Coturnix japonica: one gene and its partners. The protein of the gene in region 3 purifies or fractionates together with the protein of the main gene of each other region. This does not show direct contact. Links are inferred from orthologs where the notes say so. Each region holds a gene or a part of one and is shown on either strand. Other genes may lie near its edges.

Region 1 (7,418 bases), on a different chromosome or scaffold from region 3:
GGGCTCTGTACGCCCTCCTGCTCTGATGGGGAATTGCATCCACCTGCATGCAATGCTTGTTGTTCCTGCACCGAGCAGCCCCTCTGTGCCCGAGCACCTCCCTGCTGCTCCAGCTGAGCGCTTTTTCTAATGGGTTTTTTAAAGGAATCGGGGCTCTGCACCCTGATGAAGTTCGTGGAGCTGGAGGCGGAATGCCCGCTGGTGGCAGAGAAGTGGAAGGGCAGCTTCGCTTTTCCTCGTCATCTCCTGAAGGTGAGCTGCACTGCAGGGCTGATATTCGGGTAAGGAGATGGGGATGGAGAAGAGGGCTGAGGGCTCTAGAGCTGGAAACACCTGTAGAGTGCTGCCCTTGTGAGGGGCCCGGCTGGATTCTTGTGTATTTCTAAGTATCAGCTCTGATTTTTGGGTGAGATAAGCGGGAAGGTGCTGACCCCAGCTCAGCCACAACATCATTTCCCAGTTACGGTGTCTGTGATGTGAGGGATGTGGGTTGGACACCAGACAGGGGTTGCCCTCAGCTCTCCCAGCTGTCTGCTCCAGCATGGCAAGAAACCGACTTGCTTTTGTTCACCAACCTCTTTCTAGGTGGTTGTTAATGGCTTAATTCCCATCCACGAGGATGCTTCCCTGCTCATCTCTCGCTTCCAAGAATACATGGAGTACGACGACGTTCGGTACTTCGTGATGAAGGCGGTCACTGAGAGCATTGGGCACGTGATGCAGAAGATAAAGGAGGTGAGGAGTTGTGCTGGGGTGGGTCTGGATGAATTGCTGCTCTAAAGCACGCACACCTTGGTTGTGAAGTGGGGAGGAACCACTGGTATGTGGAACCACTTTGGAAGCAGGAGTTCCTTTGCTTTGTGTCTATTTCAGAAGCCGCTGCCGTTTTACCAGCAGAACGTATTTTCCCTCATTTCCCCCATTAACATGCCAAACAAGGAGCGTGACATGGTCAAGTTTATGGTGAAGCAAGGTTAGTAAACTTTTTTTGCTTCTTATCTGAGTGTGTTTGCACTCTTTCAGTTTTATGGGGGTATTTGTAATAACTGGGATTGGCTCAAAGGACTGAAAACAAATCATTGTTTTTATTTTTAACATCCATTTCAACGTCCATCTCTCCTTTACCTTCTCAGATGACCAGGAGGAATGGAAGGTGTCGAGGCTGCAGGTAAATGTTCTTGTCCTGCTTAAGAGCTCTGTTTTCTACTGGAAACAGATCTTCATCTACCCCATGTCTTTATCTCACTACCTGCAATTCTGTTTTAAGGCACACAGGCAGGCGTTTGAAAGGATGTGGCTCACTTTTCTGAAGCACCAGGTGAGTGGTACTTCTGCTGCTGATCCACGTTGCTTTCCAGTTGCTAATCCTGAGAGGCTGCAGCCATCCTTTATGTGATCCTCCTGGTAGGACCCCTGGTAGGTTCTTCTCATTGTGATGGTCTGACTGTATTGCTTTGTTCTTCACAGCTTCCCAGTGGCCTTTACAAAAAAGTTCTTGTTATTCTGCATGACTCCATCCTGCCTCACATGAACGAGCCCACTCTCATGATCGACTTCTTGACAGCGGCCTATGGAGTAGGTGAGTGAAGATGGGCTTTTAGCCTTTGTGTCTACTTACAGACACTGTTGGTTTTGTGCTACTTTCAGGAAGGTTTAATAATGAAATAGGTTGTAGCTGATCATTTTATCTATCTATTGTATTGATAGATGCCTGCTTTCTTACAGGTGGAGCAATTAGTCTTCTAGCCTTAAATGGATTATTTATTCTGATTCATCAGCATAATCTGTAAGTAAAAGGAGCACACTGTGTAAAGGGACACGAGTGTCTGCATCTACATCTTCACATAAACAGAACTCAAAAGAATTCTCCACATCTTCAGGCTTTGGCCATTAGGAAGCCAAGCTCTGCCCAAGCAGCTCAGCTGTTTGGATGCTGAGCTCTTCTGATAGTTTGACCTCTTTTTCAGCTGAGCTAAGCCTCAATACTTTCTTCTCCAGACAGTGGTTGCTCAGCTCTTGGAAATCAATTTCCATTGATCTGATGGTGTAGCAGAGCTGTAGTCTTTGGATCCTGTGCCATTTGCAGTCAGTGGATGTGTTTTCACATCTCCAGAACAGCTGGGCACTGCACCAGCCAGAAGTTCACCTTACAGCTTTATTTCAAGTGGTGGCTGTGGGGGCAAGCCAAAGGCAGCTCATCAGGCACTCACAACACAGCAGTGATCTGGGGTGGTTTATGAAGAACTCTTAGAAGCATATAGACATTATTCGGTCATTATTCAGACATTATAAACACAGTGTAGTCCTGTTGGATGTCACTAATCAGCAAAGGATGTTGTCTTTTTCCTTCCTGCCTTCTCAATAGGGAATACCCTGACTTTTACAAAAAGCTCTACAGCCTCCTGGACCCTTCCATTTACCACGTGAAGTACCGAGCCCGCTTCTTCCATTTGGCTGATCTGTTTTTGTCTTCATCGTAAGTAGAACCTTCAGTATATATGTACCTTTCAGTATATACGTACATACATTTTGCTGCTACTTTTCAGTTGGCCAGAGTCCATTCTTCAACAGTCTCCCGTGTCTGGATTTAATGTAGTCATTGTGCTCGCTGAATTAAGTTTGTTTTCTTATTGAGAAAACTGAATCTAAGAGTGTTACTGCAGTGCTGTAATTCTTCATGTGATGTCTCTGAAGATGCGCCACGCATCTGTCTGGTTTCACAGACTAAAACTGCAGTTCATTATCTGAGTTTGATCGGCAAATCATTATGGATGTATTTTGATCTGTATTCCAGTTTGGCTGAAAGTGATGATTTTTCTCTCCATCTTTATGAATATGGAAAAGGAACATTTGCAGGCTTTTTATAGACGCAGTATCATAAATCTGTTGATAAATTGATGACCTTTTTGCAGACGTGTAATATTGAAATATAAAGCATTTGACGCTCTGTCTTGATGCTGTCAATTCATCATGCCCAGGGAATAAACTAGATATGCAGCTGGTCATAGAGTTGCCATAATGTGTTGTAAAATAAACTAAGAGTAATGCTCAGCGCGTGATATTTAATATCACCCCCCTGGTGCTCATAGTGTTCTCTGGAGAGAGTAACAAGACATGGCAGATGGTTGTACCTTGGGGTGGTTTGGCTGAGCCTTGCAGGTGTAGGGAGCCCTGGGGCTGTGGGATGAGTGGCTGGAAATTGTCATCTCATCCCAGCTCTGCTGACCTGAAGAATGTATCTACACGAGCTGATTGCTGTTAAAAACCTGCATTTCTACCATAAAAGAGAACTATTCTGCACATTTACGTGACAGCAGCTTTATGTTCCCATTACAAGCTGCACCGCTTGCTCTAGTCCTGCAAGTATTACATAAATTTAACACCATGGCACGTGTATTAATTAAACCCACAGAACTACATTAGAAAAATATAATTAAGGTTGCCTGGCCGAATACTCAGAAGTTTATAAAATGACTGAATAAAGACAGCAGTGTGAATGGCCGTGTACAAGAGCTGTGCTTGGCTACAGCAAGTGTCTGGAGTAGTGCCCTGTGTCTGGGTTCAATCACAAACTGATGTGAGATTATTCATGCACTGAATGGAAATGCCCCAAAATTTGTTCCAGACAGCACACAAGACCCCACGTAACTGCTTGAAATCACAATTCATAGCTGTACGATTCCTTTTCATTTCATAGTCCAAAAAGCTGAGGAATCCCACTGGTCCTTAGCCTGACATGCTGGTTGGGTTGATGTCTGCTGGTTCACTTGCTGGAACTCTTGACATTCTGGTGTCTTCTTCCTTCCCCACAGTCACTTGCCAGCGTACCTGGTGGCAGCATTCATAAAGCGCCTGTCCCGGCTGGCCCTCACTGCTCCTCCCGAGGCTCTGCTCATGGTCATTCCTTTCATCTGTAATCTCTTTCGGAGGCACCCGGCCTGCAAAGTGCTGATGCACAGACCTAATGGACCACAAGGTAAGAGGGAAAGGCGGGGACTTCTGTGTTACACCTTTAGGCAGCATGAAGAGCAGGATCCCTGGAGAGATCCTGGCCCCAGATCCTGAGTGTGTTGGTTGCTCTGGGTCCCTGGGTTCCCTCTGGTGTCATGGACACTGCAGGAGGTCTTAGCTCTGTGTCTCTTCCCTTAGATTTGTCAGAAGATCCGTATATTATGGAGCAGGAGGAGCCATCTGAGAGCAGGGCTTTGGAGAGCTCGCTCTGGGAGCTTCAGGTATGTCATCTAACAAGGCACATCTGTGTATGGTAGGTACAGCCTTCTCCCACCCTTGCTGCTTACATGACACAACTTGGCAGCCAGCACTATCACTTCCATGAACCTTCTGACAGACACGTCTTGCAAATGAGATGAATTTCTGGCTCTTCACATCATTTTCTATCCTTAGTGTAAGAGGCAGAGGATTTTAAACACATGAGAACTAGTGCCTGCTAATTAGCACGAGTCTTGTGAGTGCACATCTGGCCATGCAGCTGGAAAGTGGGCTGTTAAGAGCTGAAAGAGTAAATAGTGGCAAATGTATGGGGCTTTCTACTTGCTTTGGAGGGGAGAGAAGAGCATGCTGAGCATTGATGGAACTTGAGTACAGATGGGTCATCCTGTAGAAATGACTTCTAAAATGATGAAGATTGCAGTGTTCACTCTTAACATGGAACATTCATAGGATGGTGTATGAAAGCTGAAATTAGTTGAGTTGCTCCTGGTGACCTTAGTGGCAGGATTATCACTTCCCATTTAAACACCGCAAGGATTTTGTGCAAGGTGGGTGTTGCAGGAGAGAGCGGGAGCTCAGATGCAGCAGTGGGGCTCTGGGAGGTGGCAGAGTTGAGGTGTGTGCTGCAGTAGCTACAGCCAGTGGAGGAATCCATCTGTCTTGGGCTGAATGTGAACCTGGTGGAAGGGTGCTTTAATTATGTCTTAAATGTGGCTAATGCTTCAAGACATACAGATTTTACTGTATGTCTTTAAGCTGTGTAATAACGCAGTACAGCAGACTTGCCTCCTTTGCCAGAATTAATGTTCGTAACCAAGGGGTTTGTTAGGATACCTGTGCATAAAGCCAGGTGGATGTGTGTTACCGTGTGCTCATTAAACTTTCTCCTCTTTATCTTGCAGTCTCTACAAAACCATTATTACCCAGATGTGGCCCAGGCAGCTGCTATCCTCAATCAGTCGCTGTCTGAAATAGAGGATGACATATCAGGGCTCTTGGAGCTCTCAGCTTCTGAGGTAGTATTGCTGTGCTTTTGGGAATGACTATAACAAGAGGAAGGGAGACTGCTTCCTGACTGCAACAGCACTGTCCTGTTGATCAGCCTTGCTGCTGGGGAAGGAGCTAGGTGGACTTTTGGTTGCTTACAGCCAAGGGGAAAATGTCTGTTAAATGGTGGAGCATTTGGCAGCGGTAGCGGCAGGACTGTATTGCATTTAAAAGGTTTACTGTATATTTTATTGTGTTAGGGTGAGTGTTGGTATCAGCCACAGTAAGGGGATTGTACTGAATTTTGTCAATATTTTCTCTTTTTGTAGCTTTTTGATAAAGAAATAAAGAAAACATCTGCTAAAGTGCCGCTGGAGTTCGTGCAAGCGCGAGGTTTGTTTGGGAAGAAAAACGATATCCTTGCAGAGCACTTTGCTTTAGATTGATGCCATCTCTTAAAAACACATCTGCACAGCTGACGGACCTTCAGGACCTGCACCAAACTCACATGTTTTGCTGGACAATTCTGCCTTTGAAATATCTCTTTAAGAGGTGAAAACTGGACTGCCTTCTGAAGGAGCAGCCCTCTTCAGGGACCTTTTCCAGTATCCACATACAGACTTTTTTTCTTTGTGAATGATGTTTTGGAGGGGTTTTCCCTCACAGTATTGTTTTCTGGATTTGTTCACTGTTGGGATCTTGGCCCTTCTTTCCAAAGCTGCTGGTGCTGGCTGAGATCAATGACTGCACCGACAGACCGCCCTGCTGCCATTCAGAGGGTCTGAGGGGTTGGGTGGTATTGATTCTGTGTTTCAGATGTGTTCATTTCCTATAGCAACCATTGTGTAGTGAGTGACCTCAGTGCATAACTGTAAACATCATTCTTAATTCAAAATACTCATGAGCTTTGGAAATGAGCATAATGGTGGTGAGTGCGTAGGGCGGCCAACTGATGTGCACTGGAAAGTAGTTTAATCCTTGATTTTTTTGCTTCAGAATGATAAGCAGCTTAATGTAATTTTGCTCACAAACTGCAGGCGTTGCAGAAGCTGTGGCCGGTGTGTATGCAGGCGCTAGTTAAGTTTTAACTACCCCACTGATATTGGAATGGCTTTGTTAATTTGGATTTCTCATACGGTTTCAGAGGTCCTGCAGAAATTCCTTCTGATAGTGTTTTCCACATTGTTAAGTGCTGTGCCTTGGCCTGAAGTGAACTCCTTGTTAAGAATGCAGATCAACTCACTCAGGATTCTATTTTCTAATTATTTTCACTGACTTTCTCTGCATCTTTTTTGTTTGGCTGAAATTACTGATGGACAATGCCATTCGTATCTTCCACAGTAGTGATGTTATGGGGGTGTTGGGGTTCTTTTTTAATACATGATATTGAAAATGAGGGAGTTTTCTTGGGTTCGTGTATCTGGAAGAAGGGTTAAGCTCTTTCTCAGAGGAGTTCACAGCTGAAACCCTGGCTGGCCTTTACATAATTCCAAAGGCTTCATCCCCAGTCTCTGATGCTGCACATCCCCAAGCAATGTCCTTAAACTTTCCCTTTAGAAGAGAGAGCTGTAACCCTGTGCCTGTCCTTGGGAAAACATTCCACCTGGTCCTTCAACAAGCTTTTATCTTTAAACTTTCACCCTCTTCCCCTCAATAGGAGGCATTGGGATAAAAAAAAATCAGCAGTTATAAATATTGAAAGTTTCATCTGCACAGAGTGAACAACCCTTATCAGGCTGCACACCCGCTGCTGCTGTGCTCTACAGGTCTCCACGGACTGCAGATTATAGATGCTTTAATCATAGCGTGTATTAACTGGAAGGCCAGACTGAAGTACCAGGCAGAGAGCGCGTAAGTCACTCCTGTTATTATTTGATTGTTATCAGATGTAGGGAGGGAGACGGAGCTGTTGTGTTTTGTTTTTTGTTGCTGTTATTTCAGTGAGCAGAAAGGGTTGTTTTATCTAAACATTGACGTAGGCTGCCTCCCTGGCCTGGCACTGCCTTATTCCCCCACCAGAGGACAGTGATAAGGTCTCCAGTTCGCAGCAGGCTGCCCTTGGTTTGCTTCTCCGAGCTTTCATTCATTTAAAAGCCATTTAAAGTCATTCTAGCCCAAAGGTAGAAGGTAATGCAGCTCGTCAAGAGCATGGTGAGATTTATCGTGTGAGTTTAAGGTCCAGGTGACCGTGGTGTTAGCGT
Region 2 (7,418 bases), on a different chromosome or scaffold from region 3:
TGATATCTGTAGGAATGGTAAAGAAAGCCAGTCTGCAGCTCAGCTTTGGATCACAAACGTATTTCTCGTACCTTCACTGAGAATAGCTTGTGTTCTGTAAAATAATGTTTTAGGTTCAGAAACTAAGAAAGCAAAAGCTGAAGAAGATGTATCTGTGGAGGCAGAAGATGAAGATGGGCAGGGCTCAGGAGAGAAAGAGGCAGAAGAGGAGGATGAAGTGCCCAGTTTACCTCTGGGTCTAACAGGTACATTGTGTTCTCTATACAAAAATTCCAGTTCTTAAGCTTTCTTCCAGAGCAAGTTGCAGTTCTCACATTTGCATTAAAAACCCGGTGTTTGAATATAGGTGACATGAAAAAAAAACAATGAAATGGAGTTATACCACTGATAAACTGCCTTGAGAAGCAGACTACTCATTTTTTCCAGGTCTCTGTGGTATCCCCAGGAACACTTTAATACAGAGTATTTTTTTTAGCCTCTTAAAATGTTACAGTAGGAAGGAATTTTAAGAAGTTGTTGTTTGTAAGGTAAGTGCTTAATGGGTAACGCTGGGATGGACAGATTTCAAGTAAGCGAATGTCTTTCTCCCTCTCTCCCTTCAGGTGCCTTTGAAGACAATTCTTTTACTTCCCTTGCTGGTCTTGTCAGTGAGAGTACATTGAAAGGTATCAGTGATATGGGCTTTACACACATGACAGAAATTCAGCATAAAAGCATTAAACCTCTTCTGGAAGGCAGGTAAGAAGTGTATCTGTATAATTGCTGTACTGACCTCAGATGTTGTGTGAATGTCGGTAACAAGTTAGATAGAAGAAATGTGACTTCTTGGAGCTGCGCTCTTTTCAAAACATTATTTTGTATTTTAAATATTTGGTTTGTAGTCATGAATGCAAATTAATGAAGTATGTGTGTTCAGGCTGTCCCATACAACTTACCCTAAGTATATGTTATGTGTGAACAAATACTTAGGGTAAGTTGTATGGGACAGCCTGAACCACTGGTTGAGCACCTGGGGAAAGGACCCAGTCAGCCCTGGGATGAAGGCAATTTATCTGTGTGACAGGGTGGTGTGGAGCCTGTCTGCATCTCTCTCTTAGACCTCATTTAAGGGCTGACTGCCTCTGATGTAGGATCTCTTTCTGGGTGACCTTAACACTTCTTTATCTTAATTTTGCTTTTTGCAGGGATATTTTAGCAGCTGCCAAAACAGGCAGTGGCAAAACACTTGCATTTCTCATTCCTGCAGTAGAGCTCATCTACAAGTTAAAATTCATGCCTAGAAACGGTAAGGATTTCCTTCATTTTGTAGTGGCCCAGATATTAAGGGATGTGGCTGTGAAAGGGCTGGAGAAACTGTAACTTAATGCCGGTCAATTGATGTATGTTTTAGGGACGGGTGTTATTATTCTTTCACCTACTCGAGAGCTTGCCATGCAAACCTATGGAGTTCTTAAAGAACTTATGAATCATCACGTTCACACCTATGGTCTGATCATGGGGGGCAGTAACAGATCAGCAGAAGCTCAGAAACTTGGAAATGGAATCAACATCATTGTAGCAACACCAGGAAGGCTTCTGGATCATATGCAGGTAGATGAAAATAACGATAACCTCTTACTTAATAAGAGGTAATAAGACCTTTGTCCTCATCTAACTCTCAAATCTGTTAATCTTCTAGAACACTCCAGGTTTCATGTACAAGAACTTACAGTGTTTGGTGATTGACGAGGCGGATCGAATCTTAGAGGTTGGATTTGAGGAAGAAATGAAACAGATCATAAAACTTCTACCAAGTAAGGAGAGAAAAAACTGTCTTTTCTGGAAATTACTTTACTAACATTATGTAGTCTGTATGATTGAATTACTGTAAGAGAAGTCATTAATTTTGATAGTTTTATAATGTGCCTTGGAGTGGCTCTTAACTGTGTCCATTTTTTCTGATAGCTGGCATGTATTATTTAGCAACATTTATCTGAAGGACACCTCATCTTTTCCTGTTTATTTCCTGCTATTCATTATTTCCGAATTAGTCTTAAGGAAATAATAGGAAAAAGATGTATTAGCTTGCAGTTGGATTTTTTTAGTCTCCCCATAGCAATACCTTAATGATTAACATTCTTCTTTTACTTGTGTATGTTATGGATTGTCTAAGAAAAGCTTAGCAAAGCTGAAGTGCATTAAGATTTTGGAGATGGTGGCAGCCTAAGTAAATATCATGCAATATAGTACACAGTGTAGTGATACTTGCCTTTGTTTATCAGTAGAAGTATATTTTAAATTAATAGAAAAAAGGTGAAGAATTGTTCCGTGGGAGTTTGCAGCTAAAGGGGTTAAGGATTTGCTATTTGAATTCTCGTTTAAATGAATGAAGCATTCTTATAACCAACTATTTTCAGAGCGCAGACAGACGATGCTGTTTTCTGCTACACAAACCAGGAAGGTGGAAGATCTAGCCAAGATTTCTCTGAAGAAAGAACCACTGTATGTAGGAGTTGATGATAACAAGGAGACAGCAACAGTAGATGGCCTTGAACAGGTAAAACATAAATGTTACTAGAAGGGGTATAGTCTGAGAACAAACCAGCAGGCCCTATGCTCTTTTAAATGGGTTGTATAACTGTGCATCCCATGAAGTGTTTAACATCCTAATGGGCAAAAGTTAACAGTTGCCTAAGGGGTTTCTTCACTGCTATCTAAAAGGTTATGTAAAAAAATAATGAAGTAATGATACAGTTAGTTACACGTTCCAACTACTGCCTGTATTGTATACATAAGCACTGTGTTACTGACTAGAGAACACTTGAGATTTTGTTTTTCCTGCTTCAGATAATGGCTAAATGGAACTGCGCTTTAGTTTCTGGGTTTGTGCAGTTGATACAATGATAATTGTTTTAAAATACTAATAGGTAGGAGTTACCTTTATAGAGTAAACTAGTAGCAAGAATTCAATGATTCCAATTAAATTCTTTCCTAGTTTGTAGAGTTAGTTTTTGCTGTTGTCAGTGCTGAAGGATTCATATAATAAAGTGAGAACCAGGCAGTAAATCAGATAGCTTTGTTCTGTATGGCTGGGAAACTGACTTTTGCCAAATAATCCCCTGTGTATTCTGTGCTATTTATGCAGAGTGTGTTCTGTGCTGTTATGTTTAACAGTGTTTAAATAATTTCTAGGGCTACGTAGTGTGTCCATCTGAAAAAAGATTCCTTCTGCTCTTCACGTTCCTGAAGAAAAACCGGAAGAAGAAACTAATGGTATTTTTTTCTTCATGTATGTCAGTGAAGTACCACTATGAATTACTCAACTACATTGATTTGCCTGTTTTGGCCATTCACGTAAGTATTTCATATGTATTTTTAATTAACCTGGTAATGCCTGTGTCTGAACATCAGGCTTTTATGCAGTCCCTCTGATAATAACTCTTACATAACTTGTGGTTGTAATACCTTGAATGTACAGTGTAACTTCTGAGAGGTACATGTTTACTGTGATAGCACTGCTTCTTCAGTGTGAAACGGTTCTGCTTGGTCTGTGCAAATCCATAAAGTAGAGAGATGCCCTGAAGTATTTTATATCTCTTGGCAGTGATATAATCTGTGAAATGAGAAATTGCATTGGAGCTTATAAACTGGCAGGTTTTTTTTAGTGGACATCCTTAACGTATGTGTTCTTCTGTTTTTTTTCTTGTTTTGTGTGATGTGTTTTTTGGTTTTAGGGCAAGCAGAAACAAACAAAACGTACTACGACGTTCTTCCAGTTCTGTAATGCAGAATCTGGAATCCTATTGTGCACTGATGTAGCTGCCAGGGGACTAGATATTCCTGAGGTGGACTGGATTGTCCAGTACGACCCTCCAGATGATCCAAAAGTAAGTTATGGAAATAAAAAATACCTTCAGATTGTAGCTGTGAGTGTCGCTGCAGAGAGAACCTGAATCTTCTGCTCAACAGAGGTCAGAATTCAGCTGTGTTCACATCTAGCAGCTTATTTCATACGTTGCTCTCCACCTGATCCTGGGAAGTGCTGCAGCTAGCAGAGACATAAAACATAACTTTATGGTACCAAAGTAATTAGAAATCTAATCAGCTAAACAAAACAATACTTGTTAGAAGCATGAATTTACCTTCAGTAGGCAAGGTAAGGTGCTTCTAGTCAGGTACTTCTGTCCCGACTAGTTATGCACTTTGCTTCATCAGCGCTTGGTTTGCCTCATCCATACCTCAGTGCTTAGAAAGTCTTTAAATGTAACTGACGATGCTGATATATGTTAATGTTAAATGCTTTTTCAGTAAACTGTATTACTGCCAGTGTGAAAGACTGTCTGGACTTAACTGTTCATTTCTCTCTGTAAAAGGAGTATATACACCGTGTTGGTAGAACTGCCAGAGGTATAAATGGTAGAGGACACGCTCTGCTCATTTTACGTCCGGAAGAACTGGGCTTTCTCCGTTACCTGAAACAAGCCAGGGTAAACTTACATGTAGAATTCCTTTGGTTTGTTGGCATTTACTGTGCAGTCACCATTTTAAAGGCAAAAACCTCAATGATTAACAATACAGTTTAATTTCTGAACATAAATCATCATGTGACTGAAAGTATTTGACTGAATGTCTAACTCTGTTCTGCTTACCCTTAGACTCAAAGGTGACTGCATGTGTTTTTATTTGCAGCTGTGCAATGTGTATTATTAAATACACGCATATAATTTTCCTATCACCTCTTCATGAAAAGATACCGGAAGCTTGGCCAGTGCAGTTCTTTATTTTTCTATTAAAACAATTGCATTGTTTTCAATTCCAAAGGAAGGGTGGCCTTCTTCCAAATGTAACAGTTCTAATAAGAGAGAACTGCCCATAGATTCATAGTGGCTTTTCTTATGGGGTTGTTTACAGACATCTGTAATTAAAACAATGAAAAGGTCATAAGGAGCATCTTTATTACCCTAATTTCAAGGAGATACAATGCTGGCCTCTTTATGCAGAGGCAATTTCAGCAAATTTGTTTCTGATAAGGGTTACTAATATTGTCATCATTGTTTTAAGTAAAAGATGTCAAAAACCTAAAAATATGTAAGGTATACTTTTAATTTAAAGCATGGCCTTGAACTTTAGATTCATTGACAGGTAAAGCTGTGTTATATATTAAAAAATAGTCTTTGGTTTCTATCACATCTGTTGTTATTCATCTTACATGTTACTGTTTGTACAGTAGAAATAATCTAGATTATGTATTTTATCATTCGTTCTTCTAAGGTACCACTCAGTGAGTTTGAATTTTCCTGGTCGAAGATTTCAGATATTCAGGCTCAGGTAGGAAATGAAGAATTTTTAATGTCCAGTACTACATTGCTGCTATTGCACCAAATGCATTTGCTCATAAGGATTGCTTTTTTCACAGTACTTTGAGAAATCATAGCGGTGTAAATATGCTTTCAACTTTTGAATAGAATATTGTCTAGCATAGCAAACGCGGTGTTTCCAGTAGCTTTTATAGAATGGTTATGCGTGCTTAGATTAATTCTGAAGATCTAAGCTTTTACAAGAGAATTTGCTCAGCCTTCAGATACAGGAAAAAAAAAATCAGTACCAACACCTAGAAATGCCAGTATATGTTCCAAGTATAGTTTTATTAAGCTGATATTAATGAAGCCTGGCATCAGCCAAGCCTGGTGTGTGTTTCTATCCTACAAAAATAACAATGGAGGACAGAGTACAAGAGAATAACATGGATAGTTCTGTAGGTGTGAATTTTTGTTTAGTTCTGTGAAGCGTTTTCTTAAGAGCTGTGTGAAGTTTCTTTGTAATAACTTGAATTTGACATAGCGAATGCCAGAAGCATTGAGGACAGTCCTTACAGAGCCTCCGTTGATAAGAATGGTTAGGAAGTATTAATGCCTAATGTAACTTAATATTAGTTTGCCAAACTAATGTATGGTAGCAGTCAAATGCGACATTCATAGCCCTCAACAAATAAAATACTTGTCTACACTACTGCATCTTCATTTTTGTCTTAAAAATAATGTGTGTGTTTTATGGTGAATTTCCAGTATTTTAGATAGACCTATAAGCAAAATTATATGGGATGGTACAGATTAGATGTCTGACTTAACAGTGTATTGTCATTGTCCATTAATTCTCATTACACATAACTGTGGCTGTAGTTGCATACTCCTCTCTGATCTTCTTTAAGACAACCTAATGTAATGTTTTTAAAGTTTCTCATTGCTGAGGCTTTGTACTACAATTCAGCTTCAGGCTTTTAGTGCCTGGTTGCAAAAGCACTGTAGATGTGTGTACTGTGCTGTCATAGTACAGTCTTATTTAAGTGAGTAGTGAATGTCACTGCAGTGCACAGAGTAAATAATTGGCTTGCATGTAATTTATTGTTACAGCCATAATTCCATAATGTAATGTCTGTTTTTCCTTTCTCATCAGCTGGAGAAACTGATCGAAAAGAACTACTTCCTTCACAAATCAGCCCAGGAAGCATACAAAGCTTACATTAGAGCTTATGACTCTCATTCTCTGAAGCAGATCTATAACGTGGGGAACCTGGATCTTAACAAAGTCAGCCTCTCCTTTGGCTTTAGAGTCCCTCCATACGTTGACCTCAGTATCCTTTTACTGCTGTGTTTCAAAGCTGAGTTCCTGCTTTAGAAATGTTAAATGGAACTTAGGGAAGTAGATATGCTGTTTGAAATTCTGCTTTTTATTGTTGCGTTTTATTTCGTATTGCTATTAATTTATTTTATTATTTATTATTATTATTATTATTATTACATTTATTATTAATAATTAACATGCATCATGTCCAAATATCAGAGAAAATGTTAAATGGCAGCTTTTCCAGTTTTAATAATTGCTTAAAAATATCTGCTTTAATGTAGATATGGACTTCAGTTACTACAGCCTTGTAGGTACTGGAATATTGCATGCATGTTCTAGAGTCTGGTACTGAAATACAGGGGCATGGACCCCTCTTGTCAAAGGTGAAAATGGAAGGAGAGAAGTTGAAGCAGTGTTTCTTCAGTTGAATTAGTTGAACAGCTGGAAGAATAAAAGCATTCAGTAGAATGACAGGTCCACCCCTAACACAGTTCGGTGTGTTTTGTGTAATACTTAATTCTCTTCTTAATAATGGTGGTAAGACCCAATAAGCAGCACTTCAATTAAGGCTTTTGTTATGCTCCTTAACCCATAAAATTCCAGATGTGAACAGCAACCAAGGCAGAAGACTACAGAAAAGAGGTGGAGGTGGAGGATTTGGTTACCAGAAACCAAAGAGTGTCCACAAAGCTAAAATCTTCAAGCACATTAGCAAGAAATCAGACAATCGGCAGTTTTCTCGTTAATTGTGCATTCATTACAGTGGCTTTTTGTTGTGCTGTATGCTGCCCTGATCGAAACTGTCTTGGCAGTTA
Region 3 (8,100 bases):
CTGCTGCTTTGATTTCATAATGACACTGAGTTCCTTTTCCCATTTGGCTCCATCCCTTTCTTAGTGACAGCAGTTTTATTGCGGCAAGGCTTTCCCCAGACAAAGCTGTCATCCTTTCTGTCTGTTGCTTTTTTCTTCTTATTCTGGGCTCTTCCTTCTGCCTCAAATTATCTTTGCTATGGTTTTCCAGTGAATCCTTTCAGATGATCTCATGATTCATGGTCCTCTCTTGTTCCAGCTCCTTGTTCCTCTTTAGGGTAAGCATGTGCTTGCCTTTCTGCTCTCTTTCAAAGGGGAGCCCTCAGTCTCCTAGAGTCAGCTGAGCTGAATTTAAATGGTTGCCTTTAACCATTTAACCTCTTTCCTTACCTCTCCATGCCTAGCCTTGGAAGTACTACATCTGAAAACTCTGCTCTTGAATCAGTGATACACCTCTCATTTCTCATAAAATCTCCCCCCTGGCTTTTCAGCCTTGCACTATTAGTAGATAGCTGATGGTGTGAGTGCTTGCTCTTTTTTCTCCTTTAACCCAACTAGCAGGAAGGTTTGCAGTTATATCTCCATCCTGAACCTGTGGCAAGGTATGGATTTGCTACCTGGTGAAAAGAGAGCCCAGAACTGAGAATTTGTTTATGACCCTGTGATGATACACTAAGTCTCATTCTCTCTTCAGAAAGTTGTGTTTTCCTCCTACTTCCTGCTTGCCACCTGTGACAACCTCCCCCTCCTCAGGCTCCCTGCAGTTGGCAGCAGCACCACACCAGCATTGTTTGCATTGGGTACCGTTACTTTTATCTGTCAGCACCTCTGCAGATTGCTGCACTCAGCAGTGAAGTCAAGAATAAAACAGAACCAGAAAAGTGCTACACCTCTGCTAGAGAGAGAAATGAAGAGGAAAGAGAAATCAAGAGCAAAGCCATGTCAGCCTTGGTCGTGTTAGGAGGACGGGGCTTTTTTGGAGGTAGCTGGGCAGAGGAGCTCTCTGCTTGGTTATTTTTATTCTGTCAGGCTGCCTCTGAGTGTTGGGTCAGTTGGTGCCATAACTTTACTTAAATAATGGAGGACTTTTATATGAACATGAGAAGGCCAACACATTCTCAACCATTTTTTATCCAGTTTGAATTATATTTTGATCACTTGAGGTGTTTTGCATGAGAGACTCTCACTTGCCCATGTGGCTGTTTCCTGACCTGCCATAAATGAAAAGAATTAAGAATATCCTGAGCTAAGACAGATTTGAGATACAATTCTCCAGTTATTTGAATCAAAAGGCAGTATCGATTATTTAATTACATAGAAAAGATGCAGGTGCTGAGCATTTACTACAGATTAATGACTGCCCCAGAGCAGTTAATGGTTCTTCTCACTGCCATCAACACAAGCTGCTTATTAATCCCTGGAAAATGGCTTGCATAACAATCATAACCTGCTGTTAAAAGTTTATAAATAGATAAAAGTGTCACATGGATTTACGAGTGCTGGGGCTGAATGGGATCTGCACAGCATTTCTAGTGAATGAATGCCATGTGCATGAGCTCATCTGATTGCCTGAATTATCACAAAATCCCAAGTTGCTCTTTTGGATTTGAAAATGGCACGTAAGAAAGTGCCAAGTGGCTGGAGTCCTATCTACTGACTGGGAAATAATTACTTTGCTGCATAATAGAGGCACCTTCAGCCTAACGGCAGCACTCTGCCCATTTTATCATACAGCCTGAAGTGCATTCAGGGGAAGCTGTGTGACTGTGCTGTTTCATTGTCTGCTTTGCTTCTAACAGGGAAGCAGTGAGCGCACATAGACACACACACAGAGTTGGTTTGGGTTCCACCAGGGCCCAGCAACTGGATCAGCAGATGTAGGGGTCTTGGAGGCTGTGTTATTATTATTATTATTATTAGGATCTGTGTTATTCAGCCAAAAGACTTCAAAGGAGCCTTCTGCACACAGGTCTGCCATCACACAAAGGGAATGTGATACATGTTCCTTACTGTAGGGAAGCTGCTTCAGCAGAGCCTTGGACTTGATAATCTCTAGAGGTAGGATCCAATCCCTACAGTTCTGTGAGATTAGTTCTCCTGCTTTAAGAAAACACGTTGCCCCATCACAGTCTGGTACAGCACTGCTGGATCTCCCTGCAGCAACCTCCATCTCCCTGTACCCTCAGCAGTCCCCAGCCCCAGACAGCTGTCCCACCTCCCAGTCTGTCACTGCCAGACATGCTGGGGCTGGCCATTGCATCTGAGCAGTGTCTGACAAAAGTGATATAAATCTGTCATCGTCTGAACCCAAGTGGGCTGACTGGAGGAGGACAAGGGTCTATGGGAGCACCTGGTCTGTGACAGGAATTAGGGAGGCGGCTTCCTTGTATTCAGCTCCTCTGCAAAACCTGAGATAAGAGGAAAGCTGAGAAGTCACTGTCTCCACCAGGAGCAGGATGGATGACATGAGGGGCCTTCCCGAGTCACATCATCCAAGTCTGATGGTGTTGTCTCTTCATTTGAGACTAGATTTTCTTCCCTGTACCGTGATATACTTTCATCCTCACATTGCATGTGGGCTGATCTCACCTGGAGATAAAATAAGGAAAATATCTTGTCTGCATCTTAATATTCCTGTACGCAAAATAGCTCAGTAGTCACGTTCATGGGTTTCAGTCTGGTTTTGAAAGGAATTGGAGACCCTGTGGATGGAAGTGGGCATAGATGGGTCAATGATTGGACTGGGTGATATTAGTAGTTTTTTTCCAACCTTAATGCTTCTACAATTCCATGAGCAGGAGTAGAGGGGTTGGATCTATGGTTGGGCTTGATGGTCTTTGAGGTCTTTTCCAACCTTCACGATTCTCTGGTTCTATGATTCTATGAGGGCGGTGTAGTGAATGCCAAGTGCTCTATCAACACAGGATCATAAACTCCCTGTTTAGTGCTCATGGTTGCAGGGGAGCCAGTTGCAATATCAGAGCCTTTCTGCCATGCACGTATGCTCTTTCCAAACAGTTTTGTTGCACTTAATTATGGCATAATTAAAGCAGAACAACAGCGCCATTTCCTTGGAGACAGACGTCCCTGGAGCGTGCCTGCAATGTGGAGAAGATCCAGGTGCATCTCACCAGACACTTCTGAGCCGCACTCTGTCCGCTCTCATTGCCAGGGCAGCGCAGGGGGATCCATTGCTCCTCGGGCACCGAGGCTCGCTGGGGCTGCTCCTTTTGTCGCGGCGGTCAGTGCCACCCAGCGGGTAAAGGCAGCAGTGCAGCACAATGGAAGGTCTTTGGGTGTCAATACTGAGTTTTGGATATTTTACACATGTGTATAGTGGATACTAGGGAGAGCTGTTGGAGGGGGTCCAGAGGAGGGCAGCGAAGATGATCAAAGGGCTGGAGCATCTCTTATGAAGAAATGTTGTGGGAGTTGGGCTTGTTCAGCCTGAAGAAAAGGCTCCGGGGAGACCTCATTGCAGATTGCCAGTATTTGAAGGGAGCTTAAAAGCTGAAGGAGGACCGAATTTTTACAGTTTGATAGTGATAGGAAAAGGAGAATAGCTTGAAACTAAAAGAGGGAAAAATGAATGTGGATATTACAAGGAATTAATTGCAAGGACAGAACTAGAGGGAATGGTTTTAAGCTGCGCTGTTGGAATTGGATGACCTTTATGGTCACTTCCAACTTAAGGCATTCAGTGATTCTATGATGATCACACAGAATCACAGAATAACCCGGGTTGGAAGGGACCTCAAGGATCATGTAGTTCCAACCCCCCTGCCTGGCAGGGCCACCAAACATACACCTTTACTAGATCAGGTTGCCCAGGGCCCTGATAATTAAACAACTCACAGGGCGGGCTTTTATGAGCAGGTCTGATGATAAACCCGCCTCCATAAGCCTGGCACCGCTCTCTAGGCTGCCCCAGGGGCTCGCAAACCCCCATAGGCCTCAGCCTTGGTCTCGCCCTGTCAGCCTGTAGGACTCCAGCTCCCGGCATGCCGCGATGCCCCGGTTCCGCTTCCGGTGTCGGGCGGAAGTTGTGTGAGCACAGTAAGCATGGCGGCTCCTGAGGCGGAGGGGGAGAAAGCGCGGCGTCCCGGCAAGAAGAAAGCGGCCAAAGGTGGGTGCGGGGCCTCGGGGCTGCTGCCCGCCGGGATTATCCTTCTCTTGTGCTGAGGGAAAGGCAGTAACTTCCGTAAGGAAAGCAAATGGGATCCTGGGCTCCATCAGGAGAGGGGTGGTCAGCAGGGATAGGGAGGTGATTGTCCCTCTCTACTCTGCTCTTGTGAGGCCCCATCTGTTGTACTGTGTCCAGGTGTGGAGCCCTCAGTACAAAAAAGACATGGAGATTTTGGAAAGGGTCCAGAGGAGGGACAGGAAGATGATCAGGGGGCTGGAGCACCTCCCCTATGAGGACAGGCTGAGGGAGTTGGGTTTGTTCAGCCTTGAGAAGAGAAGGTTGCGGGGTGACCTCATTGCAGCCTTTCAATACCTGAAGGGAACTTACTCCCAGGAGGGGAGTAAACTCTTCGAAAGGGCTGATAATAGCAGGACTAGGGGAAATGGTTTTAAGTTAAAAGAGGGAAGATTTAGGTTGGATGTTAGGGGGAAGTTCTTCACTAGGAGAGTGGTTAGGTCCTGGAACAGGCTGCCCAGGGAGGTTGTGGATGCCCCGTCCTTGGAGGTGTTCAAGACCAGGTTGGACGGGGCCCTGGGCAACCTGATCTAGTAAAGGTGTATGTTTGGTGGCCCTGCCAGGCAGGGGGGTTGGAACTACATGATCCTTGAGGTCCCTTCCAACCTGGGTCATTCTGTGATTCTGTAAGGAGAGATGCAGAATGACTCCAACAGAGCGTTGAACGCAGCACCTGCTGTGTGCCTGCGTTCTGTTATCTCTAGTTCTGTATTTAGATGGGGAGCAGATGGAATAGCTCAGATGGAGAAACGAACTGTCGTCTTTTAATCCATAGCAGTCGATGAGTCCGAACTGCTCACTGTGCCGGATGGATGGAAGGAACCAGCGTTTACCAGGGAGGACAATCCCAGAGGGCTGCTGGAGGAAAGCAGCTTTGCAACGTTATTCCCCAAGTACAGAGAAGCCTATTTGAAGGAGTGCTGGCCGCTTGTCCAGAAGGCCCTGAGTGAGCATGTATGAGTTCTTACTGTTGTGATGTGCTGCTCTGTTATTTGGGACATACAGGTGTTACTTTGGCATAAAAGCTTGCTCCAGTAACAGGTGTTGGAAAGAGTCCAGCGGAGGGCCACTAAGATGGTGAAGGGCCTGGAGCATCTCCCCTATGAGGAGAGACTTATGGAACTGGGTCTGTTTAGCCTTGAAAAAAGAAGGCTGAGAGGGGACTTGATCCAGGTTTATAAATACCTGAGGTGTGGGAGCCATAGTGGTGAGGCTGGTCTCTTTTCAGTAGTGTGTGGGGACAGGACTAGGGGTAATGGGATGAAAGTACAGCATAGGAAGTTCCGCACAAATGTGCACAAGAACTTCTTTACAGTGAGGATGACGGAGCACTGGAACAGGCTGCCCTGGGAGGTGGTGGAATCTCCTTCTCTGGAGATATTCAAGACCCACCTGGACACCTACCTGTGTGACGTGGTGTAGGGATCCTGCTTTGGCAGGGGGGTTGGACTCGATGATCTCTAGAGGTCCCTTCCAACCCCTACAGTTCTGTGATTCTGTGATTCTTTCTGTGTTGTTGTCCACAATCTGCTAACTTGAAAGGAGATGAGGAGATTTCATCTTAACCTCATGCTACCAGAAATGTAATCTTAGATTTCTAATTAAAGATTGCTTTGCTGTTTATTTGCACACATTGCAGTATGTGAATGCAACGCTGGATCTAATTGAAGGAAGCATGACGGTCACGACTACTAAGAAGACTTTTGATCCGTATGCGATCATCAGGGCTAGAGATTTAATAAAACTTCTGGCAAGAAGCGTTCCATTTGAACAGGTTTGTAGCCAATAATGTTGTAATGCTTATAAAGTTGTATGCTTTCAAAATATGGGTTTTTCAGGTAGTAGTGAAGTGCTGGAACAGGTCACCCAGGGAGGTATGTATCTACTCATCCCAGGAGATTCTTAAGGTCAGGCTGGATGGGGCTCTGAGCAACTTGATCTGCCTGTAGGTGTCTCTGTTCATTGCAAAGAACTGGACTAGATGACCTTTGAAGGTCCCTCCAATTCAAGTGATTCTATAATTATATGAAAATATATATTTAAAACAAACGTATCTGCAACTGAAATGAGTCTTTTGGCTCTTGTGAATGTTACTTTTGGATTCAGATGTTAATACCTGCTGCTTTTATCTTCAGGCAGTTCGTATTCTTCAGGACGATGTTGCGTGTGACATCATTAAAATCGGTTCCCTAGTGAGGAACAGAGAAAGTTTTGTAAAAAGAAGAGGACGACTTCTTGGGCCCAAAGGATCTACTCTGAAGGTATTCCTCATAAGTGTATTACCATAAAAAATCTTAAACACAAGGTCTGCGTGTCAGACCTTCAGCTGACACTATCTTTATTCATTTTTGTTGTTCTAGGCCCTGGAGCTGTTAACCAACTGTTATATTATGGTTCAAGGCAACACTGTTTCAGCTCTTGGACCTTTCAGTGGGCTAAAAGAGGTAAGGGAAGGCAGATGAGCAGTTTATGTAGCTCACTTTTGTGCCTAGCTGTGGCGTGGAGTACAGGCGGAGTCTGGTAGCCTCAAGAGTTACTCCACTGTCCTTTCAGTAACATGTTATTAAGCTACTTTTATGTGAATTCCTATAGGCTTAGCTCCTGAATTTTGTTAGCTGCTGAGATCTTTCCGCCTTGAAACTAAAAGTATTTTTTGTGGTTTTTTTTTTAAGGTAAGGCTTAGTAAAGATATCAAAGGGGCACCTTCATGTATTTCTGAATAGTGTGTCTAGTCCTGCCCCTTGGGCTTTTATTTCTGTAGCTTACAGTGCAGAATTTCTGTAGTTTCAGTTAAGAGGTTTGAGTGAAAACATCGCAGTGTTAATGTGATATAGCATGGATTAACATCTAGTATATTCTTAGTAATTCTAGAGGGAATAATAGATGTCAAAAGCTAAAACACAACATAACATCCATGATGGCATGAAAGTAGTGGTTGTTGTGATGCTGCAGTGTATCAGAAGCATGACAGTATAGCTAACGATATTTTTGAAGCACTGTGCCTTCTAATTGGCTTTGTAGTTTTTTTAGCCTATCTGCTCTTAGTTTTGGGGTGAGAAATGTTCTGATTTTGAAGAAACTTAGGGACCTTGATATTTTAATTGATTAGAGTATGAAGTACCTGCTGAGTGTTCCATTCATTTTCTTTTATTAAATACAGGTTAGGAAGGTTGTTCTGGACACAATGAAGAATATACATCCCATATATAACATTAAGGTTGGTGTGCACCTTTGAAAGCATTAAGTCTTTGTACACAGCTTTATGTTAATAATTCTATGTTTCAGTGTGTGCTATACGAATATATATAAATGTATATGTGTAAACTGTGCTATAAGAACCTTTGATAAAACTTTTAGTTTGGAGCTCTTAGATACTACTGCAATACTATTGTTTTATTAACTTCTTTGTGATGTTCTAAAACTACCAAAGACTTTGATGATCAAACGTGAATTATCAAAAGATCCTGAACTGAGGACACAGAATTGGGAAAGATTTTTGCCTAAGTTCAAGAAGAAGAACTTGAAAAAACGCAAGGAGCCAAAGAAGAAAAATGTTAAGAAGGAGTACACACCATTCCCACCTCCACAGCCAGAAAGCCAGGTCAGCTGAAACTTTATTTGGTTGTGCAGGAGTATATGGTGGTTTTAAATCCTGCTCTCGTTAAGATGAAGTTAACGGGCCCTTTCTGTCATGTTTTTGTTTCCTGATATTATATATCTTGCTTGTAATGTGTAATTGTCTAAAGCTTCTTGGTAATTTTCTTGTATAGATTGATAAAGAATTGGCAAGTGGTGAATACTTCTTGAAAGAAAGCCAGAAGAAACGAAAGCGAGTGGAAGAAATAAAGGTAAATTTGTTACAACCAGTTAAAAAGTGCTTCATTTCTGACTTTGGTTTTTTTCCCTTTTGCCCGGCTCTG
Region 4 (7,418 bases), on a different chromosome or scaffold from region 3:
GTGGAACTACAACAGAAACTCACCATCTCTTTCCCACCCCCCCGCAATGGAAAACACTCGAGTCACTAAACAGATTCAGATACCTTATTGCTGAGAACCTCTTGGCTTTGGCCTTATCCAGAAATTTCTTGCACTTTGCAATCTTCTCCTCCAAAGCCTGAAGAACTTCCTTCGAGCTCTCCCTGGCACTCTGTACAGTTGGCTCTGATTCTTCCTCTACTGAATCTTGATGTTGCTCATTTTCTTCTTCCTCTTCTTCCTGTTCCTCCTCTTCAGGAGCATCACTGTCTGTTTCATCAAAGCCTGGCACATCTACAGGAATTAAGTCTTCTTCTGAGAACTCAGGTGCTACATTAATCCTCCCAAAGTTTTGCCGAACATTTGCCATGAGCTGCTTCATTTCAGTGTCTGCATTCTTCTTCTCTTCCGTTGGCTCCACATTTGATGCAACAGACTCAGAAATTTCCTTCTCATTATTAAATTGGCTTGATGTCATTGCTCCTTCCGATGCGGGTGGCTAGGAAAAAGGGCGTAATGGATATATTATCCACAGCCTGTCCAAACATCCCCTTGGACGAAGCCTAAGATAACTAACAACGTGGTAATTACTGACATTTCTACTAGTTGGATGACTGCAAAACAGTTCAGACATCTCTGTGGAAGAGTTCTTTGCTATCCGGTGCTCTGAATCATGTCAGGAAAAGCCCAATTTACATGGTGCTCTGGCAAAAGCATCAGTGAGTATCATTAGAAGAATGGAATAATATGCAAGAAGAGGCACGAGCCTCACATCCTTACCTCAGCAGCTGCTTCTGCATTTGGTGGCTTCACAAAGAACGGAATTCTGCCCCTCTGCCAGTCATTGAGAACCATCTTGCTGACAGTTTGCAGATCAGGCTCACCACCCTGAAAGAATTCAGTAACAGTTTCTGTCCTTGTTTGCAGGGCATACCATCTTTATATTATCTCTTTGCAACTGAAACGTATTTCGCACTTCCAGTGCAGAAACAAACCCACATGCTCTTCCAACCTGTAAATACAGGATGCTCTCAAACCTTTAGTAGTTTTCCAGTCCTAGCAGCAAGCTTCTCAAGGAAATCTTCTGTATCTTTCCAGAAATCAATTTTGTATGTCTTTCTGATGTACTCTGGCTTGGCTCTTTCCAGCACCGCACTAATGTGATCTTCAGGGCTCTTAATCTTTTCAACTTGAACCTAAAAATGAATGGTAAAGTATCAACCCTTTGGAAAGCGTGCAGACACTTCTTTGAACTCACCATGGTGAAAACAGCAAGAATTTTCCCTGCACACAGCACAGATACATACCACTCCCTTCAGAACAATGTCTGTTTCTGAGTCTCCAGATGGATACACCACCCCTGGGCAGTCAATGAGAAAAATCCTCCTCATCAAAGTAATGTATTGCCACACCTGAAAGATATCAGTGATCCCCACGTTACCTCCTCTCATGCACAACTGTTAGTTCTGCTTTTAAATGCACAGGTTTAATATACGGAAGTCATAAACTTGGCATTAGCACACACTGAGTCAGTGCAGCTGAGTGTTCAGATCACACAGCACTGCACAACAGACATAGAAACTCAGAAATGCTTTTGAGCAGCAGCACTCCAGAACAACGCCTGGCTCATCAGCCACCCCTCAGACTCAGGGTGATGCAGCTTGTGTAACTTCAGTGACCTGGAAACATTAATGAGCTCATTTTATATATTTTCTGCCTCTGACAACACAGTGGCATATTTATAATATTATTTTTTAACCTTTAAAAGAGCAGCGCCTTCCTACCTTAGTTTCACCTGCAATGGGAGCCACACTGCAGACCTTCTTAGACCGCAACGTGTTGATCACTGAGCTTTTGCCAACGTTTGGGTATCCAATAAAACCCACACTGATCTGTTTCTTATCAGAGTGTAACTGTTAAGAAATGACACATCATTTTAATACCTCATAGAAAATGACACAGTTACTATTGCAGTTTTAGGAGCTTCTGGTTGTATAAAAAAGCAAAGGCTGCTTCAAATACTCTGTCCAGGGGAAGTATTTTCCATTTCCACAGAATGAAGCTTGTTTGCTGACAGAATGGCCACGTGAAAGTGCACTGTACCCCACACATTAAAACAGATAAATCCCATACTAACCCCAACCCCAAACAATATAAAGCCCCACAGTTGTTCTTTACCTTTCCAAACTGCCTTAAAAGCTGTATGAAAGCACCTTTGCCAAAAGGGTTTGTGAGGCTGGCGTGAAAAGCAAGTGTTGGGTATTCCTGGGAAAGGACAGCAACCCAGCGCTTCTAAAGAGGAAAAACACTGCTCAGTTATGAATGCTGTGCTGCAAAGGCAGTGAAACAATTTCATTGTGAGAAAAACCATCTTCACTTGAGTCACATAACACAACTATCTATAAAAGTTGCCACGTAAGAAGCTTAGATGCATTTTATCAACCCAATAGCTAAAAGCACTGCCTATTGTTTTCATAAAAAGATGATTTCCCCCTAAATGCCTTCATTGCTAATTAGTTTAACAATGTAAAACAGACCAGCTGTGGTGGACATGGACCTTAAACGTACTAACATTTAGCATACTCTGGAGACATCAGCTGAACAGTTAAATCCAGACAGAGGAAGTAGAGAATTTGTGGCTGGTGACTGTTGCTCAACTGAGCCAAACTTGGACTGATTTAAATGGTAATTGTTACTTTTACAGCAAGCAAGCAGAGAGTTCCCACTGACCCAGTTACATTATGCCCTTAAGAGACTAGAACAAGGACTGGCAACAGAATTAGAGGCTATGAAAGGAACAAAATACATTCAAGGGACAAGAGGCAAAGCTGTGCTTACAGTAGCCCAGGTAGGAACAAGATCACATTTGTTCAGGACAAAAATGAGATGCTTCCAGTGTTTCTCTTTTTTCAGATAAGATTCCACATGAGGGGAGCGAGTACCCATAGGATCTCTGGCATCAAGAACTTGAACAACAACATCTGATGAGTCTATCACCTGGAAAAAGAAATACATATATATATATCATACATACACATATATCGCACAGAAGGAAAATAATACACATTTCCAAAATATAAAACAGTAATCTTCTAAATTCTTATCGTTATAGGATAAAACCTTACATCCTTTAGGAATGACTGTTAGTTTCCTGTAACAATCTCTACTCTCTCTTCCCTGCTCCCCTCCAAATTTAGGCTGGAGAGCTGTGAGCAGCTTCTAGGAGCATTTGGGAAGGGAAACACTACAACCAAGCAGTAAAGTTATTTGCCTTAGTGGGCAAAAAGAATGTTCTTCATCCATTCTATAAAGGATCGGGACATAAAGAGCGTTTGCTGGATCAGTATGAAACACACAACCAAGTAGGAACCTGCTGTTAGTCCACTAAGAATCTACAGCAGGGAGCTGTCATTTCATGACTTGCTTCAAGCCAAGAGAATTTGTTTCACAGCTATTTCCTGCATTTTTGGCAGAATCTTATTGAAATCTGTTTTGCTCTATGATTCCCAGCACTTCTAGGACTAAATGAGAAAGTTCTAAGCTACATTCAGAAATTTGGGACAAGTCAAGCAGTTTAACAACAGTCACTGAGAGCAAACAAACTGCACTTACAAATCTAACTCAATCTCAGGCTTCATTCCTTTAGCACCAGTGGCAACTCATGGGGAAGGTCAGAGAACCCCAAAGAAGATCTTATTAACACGATGCATCCTCAGTCTAAAGAAACTTAAGGGCATCTGACTGGTTTATTTGTGCTAAAGCCCCAGGAATTGTTCATTTTACCAGCTCATCTTTGGATCATATATTTTAAGGATGTATGTTCCACTGAGACAAGAGCTCAAGAATCAAGCTTAGAAGCTTGAAAATGAATCTCCCTGCTACTCTACAACTGTTTCTTTCTGTTCTAGTTGATGGTCTGGTTCAACACCAGTCCAATGCTAGAAAAGAGTGTATGGATTTACATCAGTCAGTTCAGTTAGGCCGACAGGAAAACAAGGAAGAGAATTATACACTAAGGATGTCTCTGAACAGACACCTTTGCTCTACAGAAAATTCAGCAGATCAAAGCTTCCCTAACATGGCCAGACATAACTGTACAGTTCTGAGAGCTTTTCAGAGTCACACAATATTTCCAACGCTGTGCTGCAGCACCGGACTTCACAAAGGCTAAAATACAGACAAATACCTGCTGCAAATTATAAGTGTTGCTTACCTTGTACAGCTCACCCCAAATTCTTTTTGACTGTCCTTTCTTAAATATTTCCTCTTGTGCTTCATCCCTGGAAGTGGATCACCAGAGACATCAACAACCACAATAACAGGGCTGTAGTGCTGTCTTCTCTAAAGCCAGTTAGCCATTTACAGAGAAAAGAGGAGATTAGACCCAGTCCCTTATTTAACCCAATATCTGAGTTCACAAATTTTCAGATATGCAACAGGAAATGAATTAGCAATGAAGACAGAAGGGTCCCATGGAAGCAGGAGTTCAGTTAAATATATTGGGATGAAACAGCCTTAAAATAAAATCCAGCCAAATTCAGCTTATTTCTCATTGCATACTCGTCAATCAGGCAGTAACAGCATCGATAGAGGAACTAGATGCGCTTTTTTAAATGAATGAAGATGTATAAGAAATGTAAATAGAGAATAATTTCTCCTTCCTATCTACCTTACTCCAGTGTCTTCAACGACCAGGTCTCTGTCTTTGCCCTGATCGTAACATTCTGATGAGGCTTCAGCATTCTCCAGCAGGGACTGTACATCACTTGCAGCAAGGTTTGGCCTTTTCCTCTGTGCTTTGGGGCCAAATGTTGTTTCAAATGTTTCTGTGTCAAGAATGTGAACTCTGGAGGTCTATGGAAAGATGGGTTGTTAAAATAAGAAAACACACCCACAATCTCTAATATTCCATCTCTCACGACATGCAGCCTACAAGATCTCAATGCAATGCAACTCTGTAACCTCTAACAAGAGTCATAGGCACTTTCCTAACAGTGTTTGAGTTCTGCAGCTTAATTTCGAGAAGCACAAACACGGATATTTAACAAGCACCAAACCAGGCTGCACTTGCCAAAGAACCATGCTTCACTTCTTCCTGCATAAATGATGTCCAAAGTAATTAAGGCTGCAATGATGAAAATTCAGCTGCTATCTTTGATCATTCCTTATTTTTCTAACAAGTGCACAAATCTCGCCAAATTCACAGATTTTTGTCAGGGATAATTACAGTCAAAACTGTAAAATTTGAAGCCTGTAATGAATGCCAACTTTTCTTGGAACGGCAGCAGTTCATAGCTGAAAGAAATCATTTGTTTTTGTAACACTTATTTTAGTTTACAGTAACTTTTCCCTTCATTTAGGTAACATTTTTATGACACAAACGTGGCAACTTTCCATGTGAAAAATATCTAACGATAATCCAAAATAATAATACTTCAGGGGTTATGAAAGCAGACTGGTAATAACTAAAGCTTTAGGCACTTGAAACTCAATTTGCCTTGAAACGAAAGCAGCACGCAGAACTTCTGATTCAAGATAAAAAGCACATATTTGAGTTCAGGCAGATTCAGTGCATGAGAGAAAACACGCTAACAGAACAATGCTTCCTCAGCACTGTCACATCAGCCATTAGAAGCATTAGGACAGAAGGTGACAAGTTTATATATAGTCATTTTAAATGCCATATTCTAACCTAGAGTGCTTTCAAGTAGATTTCCTGTGAGAAAATGTGAATTCCATACCATAGACATCACAAACCAGACTGCTTTCATAACCTCTGTATCACATCCACAGCATTGTGTCCTCAAAAATATCCCATTCCAAGATATTTGCCCCAATTCCTCCTCCAATGCTTCTCCAAACGTAGCCAGTTTCCCACATATAACACATAAAACAGCCTTAACCCAATGCAGATGAATGACACTCACGTGAGGTTTAATCCGATCGTGGAAAAGAGACATAGGTAACTTGCTTTGTTTCATGACCACTCTGTATGGATCTTTCATGACAGTTTCCATTTCTTCTTGAAACTTCTGCAGGGATGCCTGCTTGACCACACGAGTATTCCCTATGTGTAAGAATAAAGGCTACATCTACACCATTCATCACCTTTAACTGCTTCAGAGACTCAGATTACACCATGAAAATATCAATACTTCAACTGCAATAAAAAATACCAACCAATCCAAGCTTGTTGAATGGAGAGCCTGAAAGAAAACTCACCGAACCATTTAATATTTGGTTCCACTCTTGCAACTGTGCCTGGTGCCACTGTCGACTGATACTGCAGAGGTTTAATCACTTTGCCACGTTTGTTTCTAAGTGAAGAATGAAAATGCATGTAAATACATAATGAAACCATACATGCCTATAGCACTTTGATTCACTAGAGCCACTATTCACCCCCTTAGTACCCATCTAAGCCTATGCCTGCACAAAGGCAATAAGTTAGTTGGATGAGCTATCACACCTGCTGGCATACACTGCCCTGTGATGATCCTAGGCTTGATATTTTACCTGTTTGCTGTGTCAAATCACAGGGCAATATCTCTGAAAAACACCTTACTAATCATCTTAGTGCTTTGAACTCTAGTTATTCATAAGAAGCATCTGGGTACAAGCTAAGTACTACAGGATAACTGATACAAACACACATACACACACAAGTAGCTTTCATACAATACATCCCAGCTTGAGTGAACGCTTCAAGTCTATATATGAATATCTTATTGGGATACCCAAGCATGATTTCCAAACATATTACTCTTTTTCCTTTCACATCCTCACGTGGAATTGTTGCAATCAGTTCTACCCAGAAGAGTAGCCAGAAGATATGCTTCTATCTCAAAACCAGGCTTACAACAATACATATACAACACAGTCATATCTCAAAATGAATTAAGATCTGACAAAGCAAAACTGCTGCTCCTAACCAGCAACGTCAGAACCCCCACAACACCCATAAGGTGCTATATCAGCTGTTCTATGTCATGTTTTACAGTTAACATGAAGGAACACTGAGGAACACTGAGGATTTGGGGGTCTATGATGTTCCCATGGGATCATATCAGCTGTTCTAGGTCATGTTTTACAGCTGACATGAAGGAACACTGAGGAATTGGGGGTCTATGATGTTCCCATGGGATCATATCAGCTGTTCTAGGTCATGTTTTACAGCTGACATGAAGGAACACTGAGGATTTGGGGGTCTATGATGTTTCCCATGGGATCATATCAGCTGTTCTATGTCATGTTGGACAGCTGACAGGAAAGAACACTGAGGATTTGGGGGTTTATGATGTTCCCATGGGATCATATCAGCTGTTCTAGGTCATGTTTTACAGCTGACATGAAGGAACACTGAGGATTTTGGGGTTTATGATGTTCCCATGGGATCATAT

What was found. The genes of interacting proteins can lie anywhere in the genome.
Region 1: the proteins of KRR1 (region 3) and NOC4L purify together in Homo sapiens (co-immunoprecipitation; 3 studies listed by BioGRID and IntAct, with this or other methods). This does not show direct contact. The link is inferred for Coturnix japonica from reciprocal best matches to the Homo sapiens genes KRR1 and NOC4L.
Region 2: the proteins of KRR1 (region 3) and DDX18 purify together in Homo sapiens (affinity purification with mass spectrometry; 3 studies listed by BioGRID and IntAct, with this or other methods). This does not show direct contact. The link is inferred for Coturnix japonica from reciprocal best matches to the Homo sapiens genes KRR1 and DDX18.
Region 4: the proteins of KRR1 (region 3) and GNL2 purify together in Homo sapiens (affinity purification with mass spectrometry; 3 studies listed by BioGRID and IntAct, with this or other methods). This does not show direct contact. The link is inferred for Coturnix japonica from reciprocal best matches to the Homo sapiens genes KRR1 and GNL2.

Annotation. Positions count from the first base shown.
Region 1 is NC_029530.1:2,104,874-2,112,291, reverse strand, and holds part of NOC4L (nucleolar complex protein 4 homolog), read left to right. Parts: intron 1-144; coding exon 145-252; intron 253-585; coding exon 586-735; intron 736-873; coding exon 874-973; intron 974-1,133; coding exon 1,134-1,168; intron 1,169-1,267; coding exon 1,268-1,318; intron 1,319-1,467; coding exon 1,468-1,579; intron 1,580-1,725; coding exon 1,726-1,786; intron 1,787-2,365; coding exon 2,366-2,476; intron 2,477-3,812; coding exon 3,813-3,976; intron 3,977-4,149; coding exon 4,150-4,232; intron 4,233-5,132; coding exon 5,133-5,246; intron 5,247-5,546; coding exon 5,547-5,663; 3' UTR 5,664-7,418.
Region 2 is NC_029522.1:18,161,068-18,168,485, forward strand, and holds part of DDX18 (ATP-dependent RNA helicase DDX18), read left to right. Parts: intron 1-113; coding exon 114-245; intron 246-602; coding exon 603-738; intron 739-1,184; coding exon 1,185-1,285; intron 1,286-1,390; coding exon 1,391-1,590; intron 1,591-1,678; coding exon 1,679-1,793; intron 1,794-2,396; coding exon 2,397-2,536; intron 2,537-3,171; coding exon 3,172-3,333; intron 3,334-3,713; coding exon 3,714-3,866; intron 3,867-4,352; coding exon 4,353-4,466; intron 4,467-5,250; coding exon 5,251-5,307; intron 5,308-6,432; coding exon 6,433-6,610; intron 6,611-7,206; coding exon 7,207-7,349; 3' UTR 7,350-7,418. UniProt on the Homo sapiens protein: ATP-dependent RNA helicase that plays a role in the regulation of R-loop homeostasis in both endogenous R-loop-prone regions and at sites of DNA damage.
Region 3 is NC_029516.1:34,298,800-34,306,899, reverse strand, and holds the start of KRR1 (KRR1 small subunit processome component homolog), read left to right. Parts: upstream 1-3,983; 5' UTR 3,984-4,041; coding exon 4,042-4,105; intron 4,106-4,955; coding exon 4,956-5,134; intron 5,135-5,819; coding exon 5,820-5,954; intron 5,955-6,315; coding exon 6,316-6,441; intron 6,442-6,540; coding exon 6,541-6,624; intron 6,625-7,340; coding exon 7,341-7,397; intron 7,398-7,610; coding exon 7,611-7,781; intron 7,782-7,950; coding exon 7,951-8,028; intron 8,029-8,100. UniProt on the Homo sapiens protein: Part of the small subunit (SSU) processome, first precursor of the small eukaryotic ribosomal subunit.
Region 4 is NC_029538.1:3,324,782-3,332,199, reverse strand, and holds part of GNL2 (nucleolar GTP-binding protein 2), read right to left. Parts: intron 6,336-7,418; coding exon 6,241-6,335; intron 6,086-6,240; coding exon 5,946-6,085; intron 4,873-5,945; coding exon 4,688-4,872; intron 4,299-4,687; coding exon 4,232-4,298; intron 3,016-4,231; coding exon 2,857-3,015; intron 2,311-2,856; coding exon 2,197-2,310; intron 1,932-2,196; coding exon 1,803-1,931; intron 1,431-1,802; coding exon 1,326-1,430; intron 1,215-1,325; coding exon 1,056-1,214; intron 907-1,055; coding exon 799-906; intron 518-798; coding exon 84-517; intron 1-83. UniProt on the Homo sapiens protein: GTPase that associates with pre-60S ribosomal subunits in the nucleolus and is required for their nuclear export and maturation.